Linked DNA regions of Drosophila melanogaster. The protein of the gene in region 1 interacts with the protein of each later gene in a biochemical or structural test. Each region holds a gene or a part of one and is shown in the gene's direction. Other genes may lie near its edges.

The links.
Region 2: of the proteins of CaMKII (region 1) and dlg1, one has a biochemical effect on the other in vitro, tested with the Drosophila melanogaster proteins (one study listed by BioGRID).
Region 3: the proteins of CaMKII (region 1) and Cam interact in a test that uses a peptide from one of them, tested with the Drosophila melanogaster proteins (one study listed by BioGRID).
Region 4: of the proteins of CaMKII (region 1) and Arr2, one has a biochemical effect on the other in vitro, tested with the Drosophila melanogaster proteins (one study listed by BioGRID).

What each region holds. Positions count from the first base shown.
Region 1 is NC_004353.4:1,047,828-1,053,378, reverse strand, and holds the start of CaMKII (Calcium/calmodulin-dependent protein kinase II), read left to right. Parts: upstream 1-2,000; 5' UTR 2,001-2,036; exon of another isoform or gene 2,037-2,685; intron 2,686-2,769; 5' UTR 2,770-2,859; coding exon 2,860-2,924; intron 2,925-2,986; coding exon 2,987-3,081; intron 3,082-4,132; coding exon 4,133-4,192; intron 4,193-4,820; coding exon 4,821-4,875; intron 4,876-5,230; coding exon 5,231-5,551. UniProt on the Drosophila melanogaster protein: A key regulator of plasticity in synaptic physiology and behavior, alterations in its activity produce pleiotrophic effects that involve synaptic transmission and development as well as various aspects of behavior. Directly modulates eag potassium channels.
Region 2 is NC_004354.4:11,373,980-11,379,247, forward strand, and holds the start of dlg1 (discs large 1), read left to right. Parts: upstream 1-1,783; 5' UTR 1,784-1,829; coding exon 1,830-2,739; intron 2,740-2,862; coding exon 2,863-2,994; intron 2,995-5,268. UniProt on the Drosophila melanogaster protein: During embryonic development, some isoforms are essential for proper neuronal differentiation and organization. Required for cell polarity; maintenance of apicobasal polarity.
Region 3 is NT_033778.4:12,257,659-12,262,948, forward strand, and holds the start of Cam (calmodulin), read left to right. Parts: upstream 1-1,739; 5' UTR 1,740-1,800; intron 1,801-2,373; exon of another isoform or gene 2,374-2,381; 5' UTR 2,382-2,527; coding exon 2,528-2,530; intron 2,531-2,617; exon of another isoform or gene 2,618-3,155; intron 3,156-5,290. Other genes in the region: Vha36-2 (vacuolar H[+] ATPase 36kD subunit 2), read left to right, coding at 1-221, 297-893. UniProt on the Drosophila melanogaster protein: Calmodulin mediates the control of a large number of enzymes, ion channels and other proteins by Ca(2+). Among the enzymes to be stimulated by the calmodulin-Ca(2+) complex are a number of protein kinases and phosphatases.
Region 4 is NT_037436.4:8,646,333-8,650,774, reverse strand, and holds Arr2 (arrestin 2), read left to right. Parts: upstream 1-1,838; 5' UTR 1,839-1,949; coding exon 1,950-2,805; intron 2,806-2,872; coding exon 2,873-3,067; intron 3,068-3,129; coding exon 3,130-3,284; 3' UTR 3,285-3,514; downstream 3,515-4,442. Other genes in the region: Pex7 (peroxin 7), read right to left, coding at 59-233, 316-1,068, 1,137-1,228; CG13305 (uncharacterized protein), read left to right, coding at 4,245-4,442. UniProt on the Drosophila melanogaster protein: Regulates photoreceptor cell deactivation. Arr1 and Arr2 proteins are mediators of rhodopsin inactivation and are essential for the termination of the phototransduction cascade.

The sequences.
Region 1 (5,551 bases):
TCTAATATATACATGAGTATACACATATACATATATTTGATATATGTATGGTCTCTTACTGTGTATATGCCAACTAATATTAAATACTTTTTTCGCGCGTATAACGATTGCATATTGTAAAGTTAATATATATATTCACACGCTTCACTTATATCTTAAAAGGACATTTATACAACATCAGTATGTACCCCATTTTGTGCCTTTGTTCAGTTACGCAGTAAATATAAATATATGACACTTAAAAATTTTGTAATTGTTATTGCACAATATACATACATCTTACAAATTACTCTTGATATCTACAAGAAAGTTTAAAACATACCTAAATACTTACGAGTTATGATAAATGCTTTTTTTTTAATTTTAAAAAAGTGTTTCACATTCTATATATCGTCCCTCCTAGTCCGAAAAATGGGTTTAGTAAAACATTTCTGAAGGTCTCATCCAAATAGTATATTTAATTCGCGTACATAGCGCGTGTTTATATGATTTAATGAAAAAGTATAATTTGCAACAAGTAATTTCCAAGACCCTGAAATATCCTTGCTAAAAGGGGTGGGGCGTTTTACCATTAAGCTCATCAAAAAAAGCTTCAACGCATGTAACCTGCAAAGGATACATACCTACATATATATGTACGTATATATATAACTGCTTCCCAGATACATTCTCATAATCAGGATTTTCTTTTTTAAGAAATTAACCAAAAACACCTGTCGCTTTTTTTAATTGATTGAAATATGTCAATGAGAGTTAAATATATCTGGTTTAAAACAAAGATAATAAAGTTTTGATCACAAATTTTAAACTTTTCGTAACATTTGACTTGACAATATTATATTATAAGTATGTTATTTCAAAATTGCGAGGGTGCAATTAAGGGTCTACATATACCTTTTCCAGGGAAACACTTCTTTTTCATGGTGATTGGGTCTAGTTTTAAAAAAACACGTACAACAAACTAAAAACTAACAGTACCGCTGTTACCGGATATGGCAAAAAACAAACCTCACGGAGAGGTATAAAACAAGAGAGAACGTGACAGTAGTTCATCGACTATTTAACAACCCGACAGAAATGTGCAAAATAAAAGAATAAATAAAAATAATGAAACAAAAAAACAAAACACTTTGTAAATGTGTGGGCAAAATCGAAATAAAAGATTTCAAGACTGAAAGAAGCAAATTATTTTTCAAAAAAATTGGAGTTACAGTTTTAGGCGGATTAAATGTCTGGTTCTCAAGAAAACAAATTTGCATGCTTTATCCCATGCCTGTCGTCCGTATCAACGCTGTTACCGCTGAAACTATAATAACTGGAAAGTAAAACGAAAAAATAATTTCCATTTTTTATTCCTTTACTCAATACGTAATATAGGTTAATAGTAATGATTGTTGCTGCTCTTGATCAGCTGGCTATCACACTAGCTTCGTTGAAAAGTATGTAACTTGCAGAACGACGCGTTTCCGAGCGTTTAAACTATATATAGTCTTCACCAGGATCAATAGCCGAGTCGAATTTTCATGTCCGTCTATCTGTATGAACTCCACGATCTCAGGAACTATAAAAGCTAGAAAGTTAAGATTGTGCCATGCCCTTTTTAAGTTTTCGTTTATTTTTTTTCAAAAAATTGTTGAAATTGTTTTGCCAATTTTAATCGGTACGCCAGAAAAATGTTTAATATTCTCGTTCATACTTCCACTAGCTGAGTAACAATTATCTGATAGTCGAAAAGCTTTACTATAGCGTTTTCTCTTGTTTTAATTCTGCAATGGATTCGTATTTTTTCAGGGCCATAGTTTAATTTGATATTGAAAACGCCACTGAGTGGTTGATATGCATATCGATGTAAGGCCCGTTTACACTGCACTAACCGCGGAGTTATGGTTTTACATATGTAGATACCTTTGCTATTTTGATGTGCATGGGGAACAGTTAAGTGTAGCTTTGGTAAGGAGTTGACCCCTATGTTTAATAATCGAGTTTATTACATTTTTCGTCTATCGAATGTCATGTCATCTCTAGGCAACAACAAGGTATCAGATTCAACGTTTGAGATAGGATAATACATTTTCAGACATTTTTCAATTTGTGCCCCCGCACATGTTGTTTCTTGCGAAGTATGGTGTTTTTTCGTATGATTTCATGATCACATGAAAAAACTTCAACCACCAAAATCTTCAAAATGGAGGTCGAGTTTTCTAGTTTAAGCAACGTGCTTTAAGAGAACTCACTTGAATTACCAACTCAATAAGAAACCTGCGGCTGTTTAAAATAACATAACCCTTATATTATTACAAACCATTTAAAATTTGAAGAACTATATGTAGATTGCTGGTCTGTTTTGCATCGACTCCACTGAGTAATATAGAATTTTAAAATTGGAATAGCGAGACATTCTTTTAATTTTACCGATATGTGTTTCTATGAAATAAGTTACCTAATCTGTGCTCTGAATACTTCTGAATTACATTGGCGAGCTTTACTTTACGAGCTTCATGCCCGATCTTATACAGAGAAGAATGCAAGTTTATACTATGATGGCCGGGGGATTCTCAAATACATGCAGTACCCCTTTGGATACCATAGAACCAACGCTGTCTGAAACTTTTGAACCAGCTAGTGATTACTTTATAACAAAATAATATTTAGAGAAGGCCCATGGTACCTAAATGGTACAACAATGTATGTATGTTTGTACGTTGTAAGCAATTTTTTGTATAATTTTTGTAAAACTGATTTATTATCTTATATTTAAAAATCGTTTAGAAAACAAGAAATAAAACTCCTGAAAAGTGAAATCTGTAGAGCAGTTGAAGATCTTTAGTCGCAATAGATTTTCTTAAGTGTGCCATCGCGATGGCTGCACCAGCAGCCTGTACGCGTTTTTCGGACAATTACGACATCAAAGAAGAGTTGGGAAAGTAAGTTTAACAAACTCAAGGTTAATAAATTTATTATAATAACCCGTCTATTAACATTTCAGAGGAGCATTCTCAATTGTGAAAAGATGTGTCCAAAAGTCAACTGGCTTTGAATTTGCTGCAAAAATTATCAATACAAAAAAATTAACTGCCAGAGGTAAGGCTTTCTGTGTTCTATGTAGGTTATAAATCACATATGTACGCATTTATGCTATGCACACGCATGTAGGGAAACTAAGTGCTGTTTTTAGGTAATTCGTCGAGTACAGTAAAAGGGTATACTAGATCCTTGATCCTTGGAAAGTATGTATATTCTTGATCAGGATCAATAGCCGAGTCCGTCTCTCCGTATGGTCGTCGAGATCTCAGAAACTATACAAGCTAGAAGGCATACAGATTTTAGAAACAAATACGCAGCGCAAGTTTGTTGACCCATGTTGCCACATGCGCCACGCCCTCACTTTTGAAAAATGTGTTGATATTTTTTCACATTTGTATTGGTCTTGTAAATTTCTATCGATTTGCTCAAAAAAAAGTTTGCCACGCCCATTCTAACGCCCTTTAACTTCTATCGATTTGCTTAAAAGCCGCCAACCGGTCACGTCCACACTTTGGACCAATTTTTAAACTTTTTTCTTATTTTATTCCCCAATATCTATCGTTATCCTAGAAAAATGATGAAATTTCGCGTTCCCATTCACACTAGCTGAGTAACTGGTATCTGATGCCGTTTTTTCAACGGCGATATGGCATATCGTAAGAAATCAGTAGTAAACATTGACTGTCAAAAAGTTTTCCTGTAAAATGTACTTTCTTTTTGCTAAGTACGCTTTTGGAAGGGACCATTCTTTTTGTGTAATATCTTCGTCGTCCCTATCTATTTGCCACACAAGTATCAAATAGTTCTACAGTAATTAAGTTGTATTTCTTGGTGTTGTGCTATTTAGTAATTAATAAATTTTTACTGCCAAGACGTGGCCAAAATAATTTTGGAATAGCAGTATTGGCAAAGTGTGTAATTTACAAAAAATATATTAAATAACTTTTAAGAAGTTTGAGCATGACAGCTGGGACAAATTTTGGGCTTAGAGAGAACCATTTGCTTGCTCGCCAAAAACCTCTTATTAACATATTTGTACACATGCATGTATGCATATAAGAGATGCTTATAATATATATATATATATATTTTTTTTTTTTGCTTTTAGACTTTCAAAAACTGGAACGTGAAGCAAGGATCTGCAGAAAGTTACACCATCCCAACATAGGTATGCAACGTGTATATAAATATAATTTACTTACTTATTCTTTAAAGATACGTTTTTCTGAAGATGTATGATCTACATAAAAGTAGACGAACATGGCCTAATATCACTTTGAACATCTACTATACATAATTTTTATATGTACATTCAATCACGGCTTAGACCCCAGTAGTGTTGATGACTTGCAATGTGATCCTGATAAAGGATGGTTTGACGTCCACGGTAACACAACGAAGAAAAAAATAAAATAGAGTTTAGTAGATATATCAATCCGCATCTGCAAGCAACATTCCATTCCTCGCCCTCCCTACTCTCCAATAACAAATCTTCCAAGTAATTTATAATTATAATAATTATAAAAACTTGCAGAACAGCAAAAACCGAACTCATGCAATAGACTTTCCTCTCACTAAAAGCGTAACCTAACAAAACAGTTATTTACACGGACAGTTCAAATCTAGAAACATCACTTCCTCCAGCGTCACCGACAAAATATATAATATGTTCAAAATGTATTTTATAAACATATATTTTTATAGCCTTTAAGGCTTATAATCATTGTCATCCGTAAAAAAAAAACATTAAATACAAATGTATACAACTAATAAATTGTTAATATGTACAATTTCAGTGCGGCTACATGACAGTATACAGGAGGAGAACTATCACTACCTTGTTTTTGACCTGTAAGCATTAACCTGCATAGACTCCTTACCAAATATTTAAATTGCCTATCCCCAAAAGTGTTTTAAAAATATGAGTTTCTAACAAATGCTTGTAAATGTGGCAATGACTCGACTATTGTTTATTGAGATTCATACTTCATCCTTTTCCCTCCGTTCGTTCATACTATAATATGAATATGAATCAAATTTTAAAGCCGCAATATAATATATATAATATAATATGAATCAAGTTTTAGCCGCAATATATTTTTGTTATATTAGAGATGTGTTTTCTGCTGTCGCAACTTAAATATAACCTAAATTTAAATTTAGAGCTTCAATCGCAAAATTTGACTATGCCTACATACATTTGCAGTGTAACCGGTGGTGAACTTTTTGAAGATATCGTTGCACGCGAATTTTATTCAGAAGCTGATGCATCACATTGTATTCAACAAATATTGGAATCGGTCAATCACTGCCACCAAAATGGTGTGGTGCACCGAGATCTGAAACCAGAGAATTTACTATTAGCTAGTAAGGCTAAGGGTGCAGCAGTGAAACTCGCTGACTTTGGTCTAGCCATTGAAGTTCAAGGCGATCATCAGGCTTGGTTTGGATTTGCCGGCACACCAGGATATCTGTCTCCTGAGGTATTGAAAAAGGAGCCCTATGGGAAATCGGTAGACATATGGGC
Region 2 (5,268 bases), on another chromosome or scaffold:
GAATGTGAATGTGAGGAGCCATTGAGCTGTGAAATGTGAAAATCGCAAAGAAATCGAGAGAAAACGCACACGTCAATGTAACCACAAAGCTGCCCCAAGAAAACGAAAAGTAAAATATATAAAGAAATTAAAAAATAAACTAGCAAACTGAAAGCGCAAAATTAAAAAAAAAACAACAAATCTCGAACTTTGTTCGAAAGCCAAAGTATCTAACAAAACAATATTTGTACATAAAACACCATCGAATAGTATATATATATATATACATATATATCAGATATATATACAGATGTGCTGGCGAAACTAAAAGGAGGAGAACTCAAGGAAAAGCCAAAGCGATTTTTCCGCACATTTCCACTCGAAAGCGACTCCAGTAAATTCTCAAAATTGCGACCCACGCTTTTCCCAGTTCGGCGGCGTTGAACCACAATCAAAGCTGCTGCACCACCGCCATTTCCGCTGCCATTTCCACCAGCACCACCATAAATAGTAGCAGAAACACCGCTCACAGAATGCCAGTGAAAAAGCAAGGTAAGCGAAAAATTGCACTTTTATTCACTGCCCACCTTTCCCACCTTTCCCTCCTTCTTCTTCTTTTTTTATTTTCTGTTCTACATATCTGTCTTTGGCATTACGTGGAAATCCATTCAATTGAATGGACCTTATGAATGGTGGACAGTGAAAACTGTTTGCCAGTTTTCAGCAATTGAAAAAGTAGTTTAAAACTTAACACAATGGTTTAAGATCACATTTTACATAATTCTATGCATAACAAATTTAGAAAAATAACCTTAACTATTGTGAAATAAAGTTAGAACCTATTAAAAAAGCTATGTCTATGCAAAACTGCATTGATTTGCTGGTGAAAGTTTTAAGCACCATATAGTATATAGAAAGTTGGCATTAGTTTTTCAATTGTAATTTTAGTAGATCATTTAACTTTTACGTGCTGCGCAAAGTTAGCCAGCAAAGCTGCTTCCAATTACACACGAGATGGCACTTTTGGCCAAACAAACAATGTATCCAACTGTGCATTGGAAGCTATGCAACAAAAAAAAAAAAAAAAAATACATAAAAAACCAGCTAAATTAATGCAGACAAAGAATTTTATTTGATTATGTCACATACAAATCATATTTGGGCAACTCAAATGGCCAACAGAAGAGATGAAATGAAATGGTGCGGAAGGGGGAAGGGGGAGGGGGAAAGAGAGGAGCCGCAGCAGACGGAAAATGGGAAAACCGGGGAAAAGCGCTGCCAGCAGCCTCGCAAATGGTCAGTGAAGGTCAACGTCGGCGTTTGACGCGTGCTGAGGACATCAAACTGCGGCCACAGATACAATGTTCATTTAGATACGAGTATGTATAGTTTGGTTTGTGTGCTCTGTATGTGTGTGTGTGTGCGTGTGTTTTGGGACCATAATGCGACTCGATTATAATAATAAATTATGTGTTTAATTTTTTGGCAAACGCGGCACGAATGACAAGCCAGCGACGGTATGGCACTTGACCCCTGACCTCTTCGCATGGGGACATCAAACTATGCGCAGCAACACACAACTTCGTTGCTATTCAGATTTTCAAGTTAAAGCATTTAGGATGGGGAATTTTAGGCACACACCCTTCATGGAAACAAAAAAACAAAAAAAAAAAAGCGTTAATAACTGGCGTCCGACAAGCGGTGAAAAATGTTTAAAAAGCGTCAATCTTTATTGATTTATCGGCGGTAGCAGCCACCAAACTATAGAACCATAATAGAGCTCAAAAGTCTAGCCAGTTGAGTGCGGCACTTGGGCGCGAAGAGAGGTGTCTTCTTGGCTGGTCCTGGTAATGGATTCGGATACGGACTCGGAGCGGGAGAAGAGCAGCGATCCCAACGAGGGACTGCTCAGTAGCGATGACAAGACATTCCACGACGATGATGAACCGGCGGAGGATTCCTCTCCGGCGGACGATGAGGAGGAGCCCGAGGAGGAGGAGTGCCTGCTGCCGCAGAAGAAGGCACAGATTCGCTGCGACCAAGACCAGCCACCTTTGGTGGTCTTGGTACAGCCGTCGGCGGAAGCCATAGAAGTGCGCCAAGAAATCGATGATACCAATCCGGTGGCAGTAGCTGCCAAAGCTAGCGATATGGATGGGGATTCGCAACTGGAGGTGATGGAACACCAAATGGAGACCGTAACCGAACCGGATCCCGAGCCTCCGAAGTGTCCAACATCCCTGCGCGATAGTGTCCGCGAGTCCGTTGAATGCTTCTATTCCGCCCAGGATCTTCTCGAGTACGGACACATGCTGTCCTCCACTTCGATGGTCCGAACACCGGATGTGGAGTCTGGCTACTTTGAGAAGTCCGAGAGCGATGCTTCGCGCGACGAGTGGGAGGGTCCGTCGTCGTCATCCTCGGGCGCAGCCCGTTGTCGCCTTCTCTCCGGCATTTCCGGACTCTCCGTCTCTTCGTCGAGTCGCCACAGTGCCGAGGGTTTGCGCATGGAACTGAGCCGATTTCGCACCATGATCGAGACTCTCGAGCGGGAAAGTCTCGAGAAATCGCAATCGGAGCTGCAGTTGAAGGCCAAGAGCAAGGCGAAGCCAAAGCCCAAGCAGAGATCCCACGTACAGGATGCGGCTGGGGAAAGTGGTTCGGAACAGGGTTCCGAGAGGGGCTTCTGGTCAACGATCTTCGGCCAGGCGGGTCTGGCGATCAGTCAGGATGAGGAGGAGCGCATTGCGGACATACAGAGTAGGCACTAATCCAGTGGGGAAAAATGGGCAGGCAGAATCCCTTGGTCTTTTGGGTTGATTTCATAATAAAACAATCGAAGATCATTTGTACTAACCATATTCTTTTCTCTATATATTTCAGAAGCTCATCGGGCTCTCGAGCTGCTCGAGGACTACCACGCGAGACTTTCGGAGCCGCAGGATCGGGCGCTGCGTATTGCAATCGAACGCGTTATACGCATATTTAAATCTCGCTTGTTTCAAGCGCTGTTAGGTGAGTAATCGATAATGTATCGATTAAATCGATGAAAATATCCTATATGTATATCTTAGACGCTATTCGCGTCGCTCGTAAGTTTTTGCCTTTAAAAATATCTAAATAATTGCCGCTAGATAAGTGCATTTTTGTGAAATACTTTATTATATAGGTCAGTGTGCTAAATAAGTTTTTCACAAGTTCGTTATAAGCAAGAGCCTTAACCAAGCTCATCATCATCGTCTATTGATTCTGAAACTTTAAACGCAAACAAAGTTGCGAACTTTGTGCCAAGATTGTTAGAAAGTAGTTGATGAGCCGGAAAGAAAGATCCTTGAAAAGTAGTTCTTATCTGTGCAGTTGTCTATCGTCCATTGCCTATCGCCTATCGATTTTCTTGTCCCTCCCCTCGCGTTGCAAATTATTTTCACTTGACAAGCAAGCAGTGAGCACAAAGTAGCAACAAAGGGAATTGCAGCAACAGCGACAGCAAAACGATAATATTGCATAGGATTTGGGTCAAATAGACCAAGCAGCGCAGCGCAATGGAAACAGCAAGCGTCCCATAGTAATGCGGCTAATTCAGCTTGTTTTTTTTTTCTTTACCGACTCTGGTTACTCAAAAGGGTCGATAGACGGCCTGATTAGTGCTCCAGTTGCATCATGGAGTGCATTTTGGTGGCATATGGCGAAGGAGCCATTGATTTTCACTAGCAACTTGTTGGTTTCCCTCATATTACCTATAGTCTCAAGCTTAAGATGAACCTAATTATCACTATAACTAAATACTTTCCTATTAAGAAAAGTTAATTTCCCTGCCATTGTTGCCTTATCATTGTATATTTAAGCAGTTTTTTAAGCCGTTCCCATTTATTGAGACATTTTTGCCCAAGATTTGACAGCTTGTTTTTCTCATTTGACAGTTTTGTCTGGATTAGCTCTTAGCTACTTTTGGATTTTTGGCAGCACTGTTTGCAGTACACTTTTTTTTTTGCTCGCCCATCTTTTCTTTTTTTCAGCAACGTATCCGCCTCTCATCTCTCTCTGTCCATATGTCCATCCATTTCGAGACGGGCGGTTGGTTTGCAGTTGTCTGTTTTGTGGGTCTTGCCTGTTGTATAATTTGCAAAAGTTCTGCTCTACCGCCGTGCTCCATCTCATTCTAGTCCCCTATGGCTCTCTCCCGCTCGCTCCGCGTCTCGCTCTGTGACCCCGTCCCTTTCTATTGGACCCCTGGGTGCAAATTGTGTTGCCCGCTGTCAGTGGCAGTTGCATAATCCTTTTCGTTTCGTTTCGCTTGGGTCCTCTCCCCCTACCTCTTTCCATTCTTCCCATTGTTTTGGTTCTTCTTGTCCCTATTCCTCTTGTTCGGCGTATCCCGCTGGTGCTTCCTCTTCTCCCGTTATCGTTACAGTTTCAGTGGCTGCGCTTGGCGTGTCAGAAATGTTAAACGGCTAACAAGCACACACAAACTCAAATGCAAACAAGCCAAACACGTGACACGTTAGAAAACAGGAGCTTTTGTATGGCCAAACACAAGGGTGGACCTTAACTTAAAAACTCGCAGGGTCGCACTTCGACAGAACATGATCAGTCACGTCGCTCTGCTAGTTTAGAAGGAAAGCTAAACTAAATTGAAGAAGAGAGTTTTTAAACACGATGCCAGTACTTGATTTTTCTTATGATAGATATGGGTCACATGTATTACGATAAAAAGAGTTCACAGCCTTGAAATCAACCCACAGTTAAGGTCCACCCAAGGGAATTTGAGGTGGTGTATGCATGTGTGTGCGTGTGAAATAATTAACAAGGTATTAGCCGCATCCCAAACACCCGAAACGTATGTGTGTGTGTGTGTGTTTTGGGTATAGTATCAAACTTGAGGTTAGATTCCAGTCTCTTTCCGTCTCTTTCCCGCTTTTGTTGAACATATTTGCATTGAATCTGTTATGCTGTAATAACACTGAAAACATTTCAACTGCGTTTGAAAGCACTACTACTGTGCAACCGAATAACACTGCGTATGAGTAATATCGTTGGAAAAACTATGTTTGGGCATCAGAGTTTGATTTTTTTTTGCCATAGTTTTTGGCTTGGTTCTCAGTGTTGCACAGGCACCACAATTGACACTCAAGTTGAAGCGAAGGATAGAGATAAGGATGCGCCAGGGGTTGTGTGCGGGACGGGGGGGGGCAAAAGGTCATGAAGAGCCATGTGCGGGCGAAATCCCAATTTAATTGGCCTAGAATTGGAATCATCTGCAGCACACTTACATTTACATACATACACTAG
Region 3 (5,290 bases), on another chromosome or scaffold:
TGGGCGTCAAGCTGAACACCCTGGAGCTGGAGACGAAGGGCGTGGGCGCTTTTCCGCTGGCTGGTCTCAGCTGTGGCGGTATGCAAGTGAGCCGAATCAGGGACTCCTATACGAAGGCACTCAAGGCACTGGTGGAGTTCGCCTCTCTGGAATACCAAGTGCGAATGCTGGAGGCAGCCTCGTTGCAGACCAACATGAGGGTCAATGCTCTGGAGCATGTGGTAATTATAATTAATTCATATGATCCATATGTTATCATGGATAATCTTCAATAAATATCACTTTGTATCCGCAAGGTAATACCCATCCTGCAAAATACCTATAACTATATATGCGGCGAGTTGGAGGAGTTCGAGCGCGAGGATTTCTATCGCCTGAAACGCTCCCAGGCGAAGCAGCTGGAGGCCAAGATGGCCTTCACCGAGCTGATCAAGACCAAGAACATGACCGACGAGGAGCTGGAGACCTACATAAAGCGAAACATAAATCAGACGCGTCCTCCAGCGGCCGACACACCCTTCGATCAGGAGCAGTTCGAGGAGCGTGAGGTGAAGCGGCGCATGCGGGAGGCCCGTCTGTCCCTAAAGCAGCGCCGCGAGCAGGAGAGAAAGGAGGCCATCAAGCGGGGCGAGCCCCCACCGCCCACATCCTTCATCACCACCCACGGAGCCTCGTTGAGTTTCGCTGGTCGCCAGCGGGATCCGCGAGCCAGCAGTGGTGATCTGTACAGCACCAAGCGGATGCTCCTCTCCTCCGGACCGGAAAGGAAGTCCGCCAGTAATGTGACCGAAAGGAAGTCCGATACTCCTCCGCGTAATAGCCAGGAAACTCAGCGCAGATCCAGCCAGATGTCGAAAGATGTCGTAAATGAAGATCCACCCGAAGAAAGTTAGTTAATCGGACTCACAAATCCAAAATCTAAAGTTGTCCAAAAATTCTTAATTATTTTTAATATGGTGTGCAAATAGAAGATTTATTTTAGGTGATCACTTCGAAAAAGTATAGCAATTTCAGTCGAAAATCGAAAAATATATGGAAAAATTTACCGTCATTGTTATTAATAACGTATACGTATGTAATTTCTGTCTGCTGTATAATATACATGTGTATGTGTGTATGTTAATTCCCCATCATATGCAATGGCAAATGCTATATGTTTGCAACAGCTGACTTTACAGTTCGTTTTTTTTTAACATCGAATGTTAGTTTAACATTTACGTTAACATTTATCCGTTAAGAATAAAATTTGCAACATTTTGAAGTATATTTTTGTCAATTAAAATTTGAACTTAAAAATCGAAGAACTGTTTACATAAACATAAATCACAACCGGTAATTAGAATAAACGGACAATAAAAAAGACATTTGTTTATATAGATGTACATATGTGAGTACATACATAGTTGATTCATTTTTTTCTATTACTGCAAGGGCAAACCTATGCATAAGTTTATTTTTGCAGAAGCTAGCTTCCTATTATTTATAACTTTAGTTACCTGTAGTATGTTGATACAATTTTTGTACACACCTATTTTCGCGAAAAGCGCCGGCGCGACCGTTACAACGGCGAAATCAAACTTATTTTCGCTTTACGAAGGTGAGTGGATAAGCAACAGAAACAAACACATGCAGACGCTGCCGCTGCAAAAGCGAACTTACCCGGTTCGTTCTCGCGAGAGCGAGAGCGGTTATTGCTATTGCTGCTGGCAAAATAAAACCGTATATATGGCGACGCAGCGCTATTTTGAACACAAAGTTTTGAGTCGTCGACCGTTGCGGACGGAAATTCAGATTAGGATCGTGAGTTGTCAGAACAAACAGACCAGACATTGCATATAGAGAGCAGTATTGGGCCAACAAAAAAAAAAAAAAAATACAAAAAAAGCGAAAAGAGCCCACACCCAAGCACCAGGAGCTGCGAACGTTTCGCGGAAAAGCCAATTTCTCAGCGCCAGCCAAAAATCAAGAAAACCAACGAGCAAAAAATTAAACAAATATCTTTATAAAAACCGAATTCGAGCAACTCTTATATGTATTAGCTCTCCCCGCCATATATCTACTATATAAACGAGAATTCTGCCGTGTGCGCGCGTGTGTTTGGCATATTTCGCACAATAGATGAAAAAAAAAACGAATGAAAGCCACAAAAAAATAAAGAAGAAACGCAAGGCGAAAATTTGTATTAAATTCGGCTGAAGCAACAACACTAAAGAAATTTCAGAAACTGCCACGGCGAGAAAAAAAAGCGTCGGCGTCGGTGCTTTGGACGGACGCTTTTCTTTCTCTCCAAGCTGGCAGTAGTTTTTCTCCTCAGCCTCTTCCACCTCCAGTTGACCCCCCGAAAGTAATACCCAACAAACCTCTTCTTGCTTCTTTTGCAGTGTGTTAATTTAGTAAAATATAAAGTTAACCGCGCGTTCCGTAATTCCACTCACACACATACCAACACCCAAGCAGCAGCAGTAGCCGCAGCGGATTAAAACTTCGTCACTCTAGCAACAAACAGAAAAAAAAAACACCTACAAAAATGGTAAGTTTATGGGGCTGGAGAACATGTGCATCTTTATTTTCTGTTTACACAACCTGCGGCCATCATTTTCCATTGAAATTTCCACAGTTTTTGCGAAAAATCAAAGTCAGACAGCGACCCCCAGGGCTATTGCCATTAGTGCGAGCGGGAGGAGCGAATCGCTTCCAATTAGACGTTGTTTATATGGTTTTAACGGCTTTTCACACACACACACTCGCTACACACATCCCAGCACACCAAACACCCCGTCGAAAAGCAGCTGTCCCCGGGAAATTCGTTTACATTTTGCACCCCAAAAATATATCGCCTCACGGGTAGAAAAAACCAGTTTTTTCAACAACCCAATATCGTTGATTTAGAAACAAGAAATTGCGAACACCATGCAACCCCTTGAAAATATGGTAGTTTATACCCCTTTCACAATGAAACATAATCAAAATCCATAAAACTGCATTGAGAAAAAGTGAATGCAATCATTTGAAATTAAGTTTATACTTAAACTAGTATATTTAAGCTGCAAGATTTTCATGTTCTTAACCTGACTTAATCAAATGTTCAACTTTGGCCCCTAGGGTCACAGAAAACAAGCAGCACAATTAAATAGCAATGCCAATAGCAAGAATTTACACACATGTCACGTCACTCGTCAAAATTATTATTTATTTTATCAAGGCTGTCGCACACGGAATGTTGACGCGATCGGGTTCGCCCTATAATAATTCCATGACGTTCGGGTAGAAATACCCCTGGAAACCCAATCAGGCGTGGAAAAGTGGAAACTCTTATCAGCATCTCGAGCAACACCTCATTTTCGAAGCCCCCCTGCTTGCCCAACCCACCACCACCATTTGGGATCATAAATCAATGTGATTTTAGCCAATTTGTTGAGCATTTATGCACACACACACTCGCATTCCTACATAGACGCGTTGCCATCGGCACTTTTATCAGCAATTTTTCAAAGATCCCCGCAAATAATAGAAAAGCGCCCTCCATTTTGCTTATCAGTGGAAAATGTGTGAATATATATTGATGATGAACAACAAAGTCGCCGGTCCCGGCATTATTGGCCTCTCCTCTTTGCCCCGCCGTTCGTTGTTCGCTTGTTCTTTGCTTTCTGGTTGTATTTTTTATTTACCGCACACTTGGCCGCAAAAATTGAGGTTAGACACGGCCCCATGGAAATGGTGAAAAAATTCTTTAGAGGCATTTCTCCTGCTCTTGCGCTCAGCTTAACCGTTTCGACGCTCTCTCGCATAACCGTTTCACACACTTTCTCGTCTCTCTCTATGTGCAATTATTTCGTTTGCGTTATCAGTTCCGTTTTGTGCTGCGTCTCTCTCTTTCCGTTTCTTTCAGCATTTCATTTTTTTTTGCGCCTTGCGCTTGTCACTTTTATCGGCGCCTGCCTTTTCTTGTTTTCTTCCATAACCGTTTCATTTGCCGCATTGCGGTTATTTTGCTGTTTCGCCTTCGCCTTGGTTCGTCCGCTTCGGTCGTTCATTCGTTCGGCTCCGCGTATTCGTATTCGTGTGCGTGTGAGTGAGCGTATGGGTGTGTGTGTTGGCGGCTGCCTGTTCCACTTTGCCTTTTCGCGCAAGAATTTTATTGTAACGGCACAGGCGAACGATGGGGGAGGAGGAGCGCTGCAAATGAAGAAAAATTCCTGCTAGACGCCGCCGCTTAACCACATAATCCAATTTTCTTGCCGCCCTCTTTGCGCTTTCTTCTCTCGTTCGTTTGCTTTCCTCTGCGCTTTTTGATAAGAAAGCCCCACGCCCACTGCGATGCCCACACCCGCGCCACACCTTCTTTCAGCCTCATCTGGTGTCGCCTAATTTAATTAGCGATTTTACAGCTCACGCAGAATGCAAACAGCTTTTAATTAAAATATATCGCATCGCTTTCTACGTGGCCAATTTGTTTCAGTGATTCAACCAACGCTGCTAACTTGGCCCAGAAGCAAACATTTGCCAAGGGTTTTACTGACTGATCTTCAAAGTTTGTTGATCTTTAGCTCGGCTAATTATGAGATACGTTTGTCTGTATATCTTATTTGTTTCCGTTGAAAATGAGCCAACATTCATATAAATTTCCATGAGTCACTGTGTTCCTGGGCTGACTTCATCATATGATCATATGGCCTATGATGAATGCCCGATGATATGTGTGTGTGTCATGTTAATAATGGCAAATGACTGGCTTATGGCTCAGTTAGCACAGTTGTTTGGATCCCGGTGCGAATGCACTTAAATTGTACCCAAAAACCAAGCTCTCAATCTAACCGTCATTCATAAAACCAAACTAAACTCCATGAAACCGGTTGAGACCGGCAAAAAAAAAAAAGCGTCGGCTATACAACGGTAAACCCGGCAAACTTGGCTTTAACATAAAGCCGCATAATTTCAGCCAAGACCTGTTTTAATGTTGTATTTAACTGTCAAACTCATTGGAAGAAATAGTTTTATTCAGCAGAACTCGTTTGTGAATTTATAAATGATTCAAGCCCAAGTGTATTAAAATTATTGTTATCAAAATGTATTCATAAGTATGAATAATATTTGATATCATATTATTTGCAAGTGAAAAGTGATGATCTTGAACTAACTACTATACAATGACCCATCCAATGAGTCACTACCTTAAAAAATGACGGACAAATCCCGATAAATATACGCACAGCTTGAGTCCTGATCCCCCAGGCATACATTTTCGGAAGGCACTGTATTTGCCTTGGATGTGGAAGCTTCCTCGGGACGT
Region 4 (4,442 bases), on another chromosome or scaffold:
TTCGGTATTTAGGGAGTACCAGTTCCAGTTTCCAGTTTTGGGCATGCCCTGTACTAACCTAGACGACCAGATCACCGCTCAGACACTGCGGGGTATAAACGTTGGCCAACGAGTCCCAGCCACAGTCGGCCAACTGATGGGTCCTGTGGGGATTCCAATCCAATCCGCACACGAACTCCGTGTGCCGCGCATTGACCTCCTGGGCGGACTCACCACGCTCCAGATTCCAAATCCTAAAAAGGTGACAAAAGTGGACAGTTGTTACTAACCATAAAAATGTCCTGTTTTTTGAAAGCCTAAGATCATTCCACTTACCTTGTGGTAAAATCATAATTGGCCGATGCCAAGACCGCTGCCGAGTGCGGTGAACAGGCCAATCGCCGGACAGCGAATTCTCCAGAGTACAGCTCAAAGACGTGCGTCCTCATCTTGCGCAGATCCCAGCCGCGGATCAGACCGTCCGAACCTCCAGTGACCAGGACATTGCGATCGAAGTGCGACCAGTCGCAGCATAGTGCCTCACTCGCATGCGCCTCGATGCTCATCAGGGGTTTACCTGCAAAGTCAAGAGAGTTCCATAAGTTAAGATGTCCATCGGTACTTACGCTTGCAAACAGATTGGCGATCAGGGGCGAGAACTTGGCCCCGTAGATCAGATCGTTGTGGCCCACAAATGTGGTGATGGAGTTCTGTCTGTTGCAGTCCCACAATTTCAGTGTACAATCCCAGCTGCCCGAGAGCAGCGTGTGGTAGTTCCACTTCTCGCCCCAGTCCAGGCTGTACACCTCGTTCTTGTGCTCCTGCAGGCAGATCAGCGGCTGTTTCGGCGTCAGCTGGTTGCTCGCCGATTCGCCATCCAATCCGCACCAGATCTGAAGCGATCCATCTCCGGAGGCAGTGGCGGCGATATCGGCGGCATACGGACACCAGGCGACGTCGAACAATCCATCGGACCACTCTAGGCGGCACAGCTCTCCGAGACTCTGGCCATCTGTGGATGAGGAATTTGTGTTGGAGTTCTGTTCCAGCAGAAAGAGGGAACCACCTCCAGCAAGACCGTACAGTTGGCTGGGTATCGAAAAAAAATGGTTTTCTATTAGTATATTGTTGGTTTTAGAGCTTAAGATTGATCTCACCTTGTAGCTAGCAGCAAGTAGTTAGCCTCGAAAGGCGAAAAGCGCAGGCTATAGCCATGTCGGTCTGTGGTGGTGTGTGTCTGTGTCTGCATCTTGGTTCTAGATCTCAACTGCAAAGAAAAAAAAAGGAGAGATTCAAAATAATACCAATTTCTCTGGACCTTAAATATTATCTAACATTAACTACAATGAATTGCGACCTTTGGTAAGCTAGTTGTAAGAAATGCCAATTTCAATTATACCTCTCACATTAAAATCAATATATCGACGTTTGATACATAACAAAATTAAAAACATCTAAGGTTTCTCCTTGCTGCCCACTGATGTTTGGCTAAGAGAGAACAAAACTGGCCGATTGATAACAACCCGGTAACACCAAATCGGATGCTAATCCAGCTCCAACCTACCATGCTCAATTATTCAACAGTTGGCCAAATGACCTCGTACTAGGTCGGAAAATCGGAAAAAGATACTTGACATTAGCCAATTTGCTCGGGCAAGTGGCAAACTGCGCAGAAAATAGAACAACCCCTGGAAGCAGCTTGTTTGCAGTTTTCCCTTAGTTCCTATGGTTCTATCTTATTGTCGTGTTGGACAAGCCAACAAACAAGTGCATAACGAGCAAATCCAGTTAGTGGCCAGAATGAAGACCCACGGACAGGGCCAGGGCAAAGGTATATAAGCAGGTTGTACGGCACTTGGGTTTCGCATTTTCCTCCGCCGAACGGAAAACTCTATAACGCGCATCGCCCGACTTAGCCTCGAATTGCCCAGTTGCATTTGCCAGGAATCAAAGAAATCCACTAATCCACAATGGTTGTATCCGTGAAGGTCTTTAAGAAGGCCACGCCCAACGGCAAGGTCACCTTTTATCTGGGACGCCGCGACTTCATCGACCACATCGACTACTGTGATCCCGTCGATGGAGTGATTGTGGTGGAACCGGACTATCTAAAGAACAGGAAAGTCTTTGGCCAACTGGCCACCACCTATCGCTATGGTCGCGAGGAGGACGAGGTCATGGGAGTGAAGTTCTCCAAGGAGCTTATCCTGTGCCGGGAGCAAATTGTGCCCATGACCAATCCCAACATGGAGATGACACCGATGCAGGAGAAGCTGGTCCGCAAACTGGGCAGCAACGCCTATCCGTTCACCTTCCACTTCCCGCCCAATTCGCCCAGCTCCGTTACTCTGCAGCAGGAGGGCGACGACAATGGCAAGCCCCTGGGCGTCGAGTACACCATCCGGGCATTTGTGGGCGACTCCGAGGACGATCGCCAGCACAAGCGGAGCATGGTCAGTCTGGTGATCAAGAAGCTGCAGTACGCTCCCCTCAATCGTGGCCAGCGTCTGCCCAGCTCGCTGGTCAGCAAGGGATTCACCTTCTCGAATGGCAAGATCAGTCTGGAGGTTACGCTGGACAGGGAGATCTACTATCATGGCGAGAAGACGGCTGCCACCGTCCAGGTGTCGAACAACTCCAAGAAGTCCGTGAAGAGCATCAAGTGCTTCATTGTGCAGCACACTGAGATCACCATGGTGAACGCCCAGTTCAGCAAGCATGTGGCCCAGCTGGAGACCAAGGAGGGCTGCCCCATCACTCCGGGCGCCAATCTCACCAAGACCTTCTACTTGATTCCGCTGGCGGCTAACAACAAGGATCGCCATGGTAGGATTTGGATGTGATAGTTGTGATTCTGGATAGTTTCTAATGGATTATTTAATTGTGAACTCAGGTATCGCCCTGGATGGTCACTTGAAGGACGAGGATGTCAACCTGGCTTCATCCACCATGGTGCAGGAGGGCAAGTCCACGGGAGATGCCTGTGGTATTGTCATCTCGTACTCGGTGCGCATTAAGCTCAACTGCGGCACTCTGGGAGGTGAAATGCAGACGGATGTGCCCTTCAAGCTACTCCAACCGGCACCTGGTAAGCTTTAGAAGATTACTTGAACTTGACTTCTAGTTTGTAATTCCTTTGATGTGGTATAGGAACCATTGAGAAGAAGCGCTCGAATGCCATGAAGAAAATGAAGTCCATCGAGCAGCACCGCAATGTGAAGGGCTATTACCAGGATGATGACGATAATATTGTATTCGAGGACTTCGCCAAGATGCGCATGAACAATGTGAACATGGCGGACTAGGCCACCGATCTTCAATCTCTTCTAGCTCTGTTGTGAACCGAATTGAACTAAATCGAAAGCACTGAAAATTTGTTGCAGCAGTCTCTCGTGGAGGCCACAATCTTTGTATTATAATCGTATCTATAATGTAACTTTGGTGGATCTGGAGTTTGTACCCGTACATATGCATGTTGATGAGTTGAACAGACCTCGTGTCGCTATATTATAAATGTGTTATGGCTATCAAAAGCACTCACCTTTTCTCTCGTTTGCGATGTAGTATCCAAAAGTGATTCGGTAAGGATTCGGTTTTTGGTAGTGGATTGTTCTTGGCGGTGCTGTGGGTTTCAACTTCAGAAGTCGAATGATCTAAACAACTGCGCAGCTCGACGACGAAGGATCTGCTGGCAGGAATTCTAAGGGTGATTTTTCAACGATGACAGGGGGTTGAAAAGCCCAATGCTTATAGGTCACATCGTAGGCTTTCAACCCCTTGCAAGAAGCAACAGGCTGCCAGGATATGTGTTCCACCAATCAGGATCAACCAGAACTGGATATGGCCGGCTCTAACGGTCAACGGAAGTTCCAAGCTCCAGATGTTGACAATGCGTTTGCCAAAATACACAATTTTTGTGTATGCTAAATAGCCCAAGCTTTTGACCTTGATGATGGCTAAGGCCGCCAGCTGCCAGCAGTTTGATTCTAGGTCTCATCCCCGTCAGTCTAGCTGATTTTCCTCTTTTTTTTGGTTTTTTCTATTTTACAATTTTCTCGCATTTTATTTGCCATATCTTATATAAGCCCTGCAGCTGACCGTTGGAGCATTGCACAATCCGGGGCAGCAGCGTCGATCGATTTCACACACCGCTGACTGCTGGGCAAGTGACTTCCGGCTTTTGGCCAAGCCCCGAAAAGTGGCCAACTATAAATGGCTATGTTGTTGTCAAAATGCTGCCACAAATTTGACGAGAGTGCAACGCGATGGATCTGCCAATTGGAAAGTTAAACGGACTGCTAAAGATGCAAATATTCCTCCTGCAATTGTTGCTTTTCGTTTCGCCGGCATTGTTGCAGCAGCCACATGTCTTTTACCATCCAAGACAATTGTATTACGATTCACCGCGTCTTCGTCGCTTTGAGTATGGTGCCGCTGCCACGCCCATTGTGGGCGGCTATAGT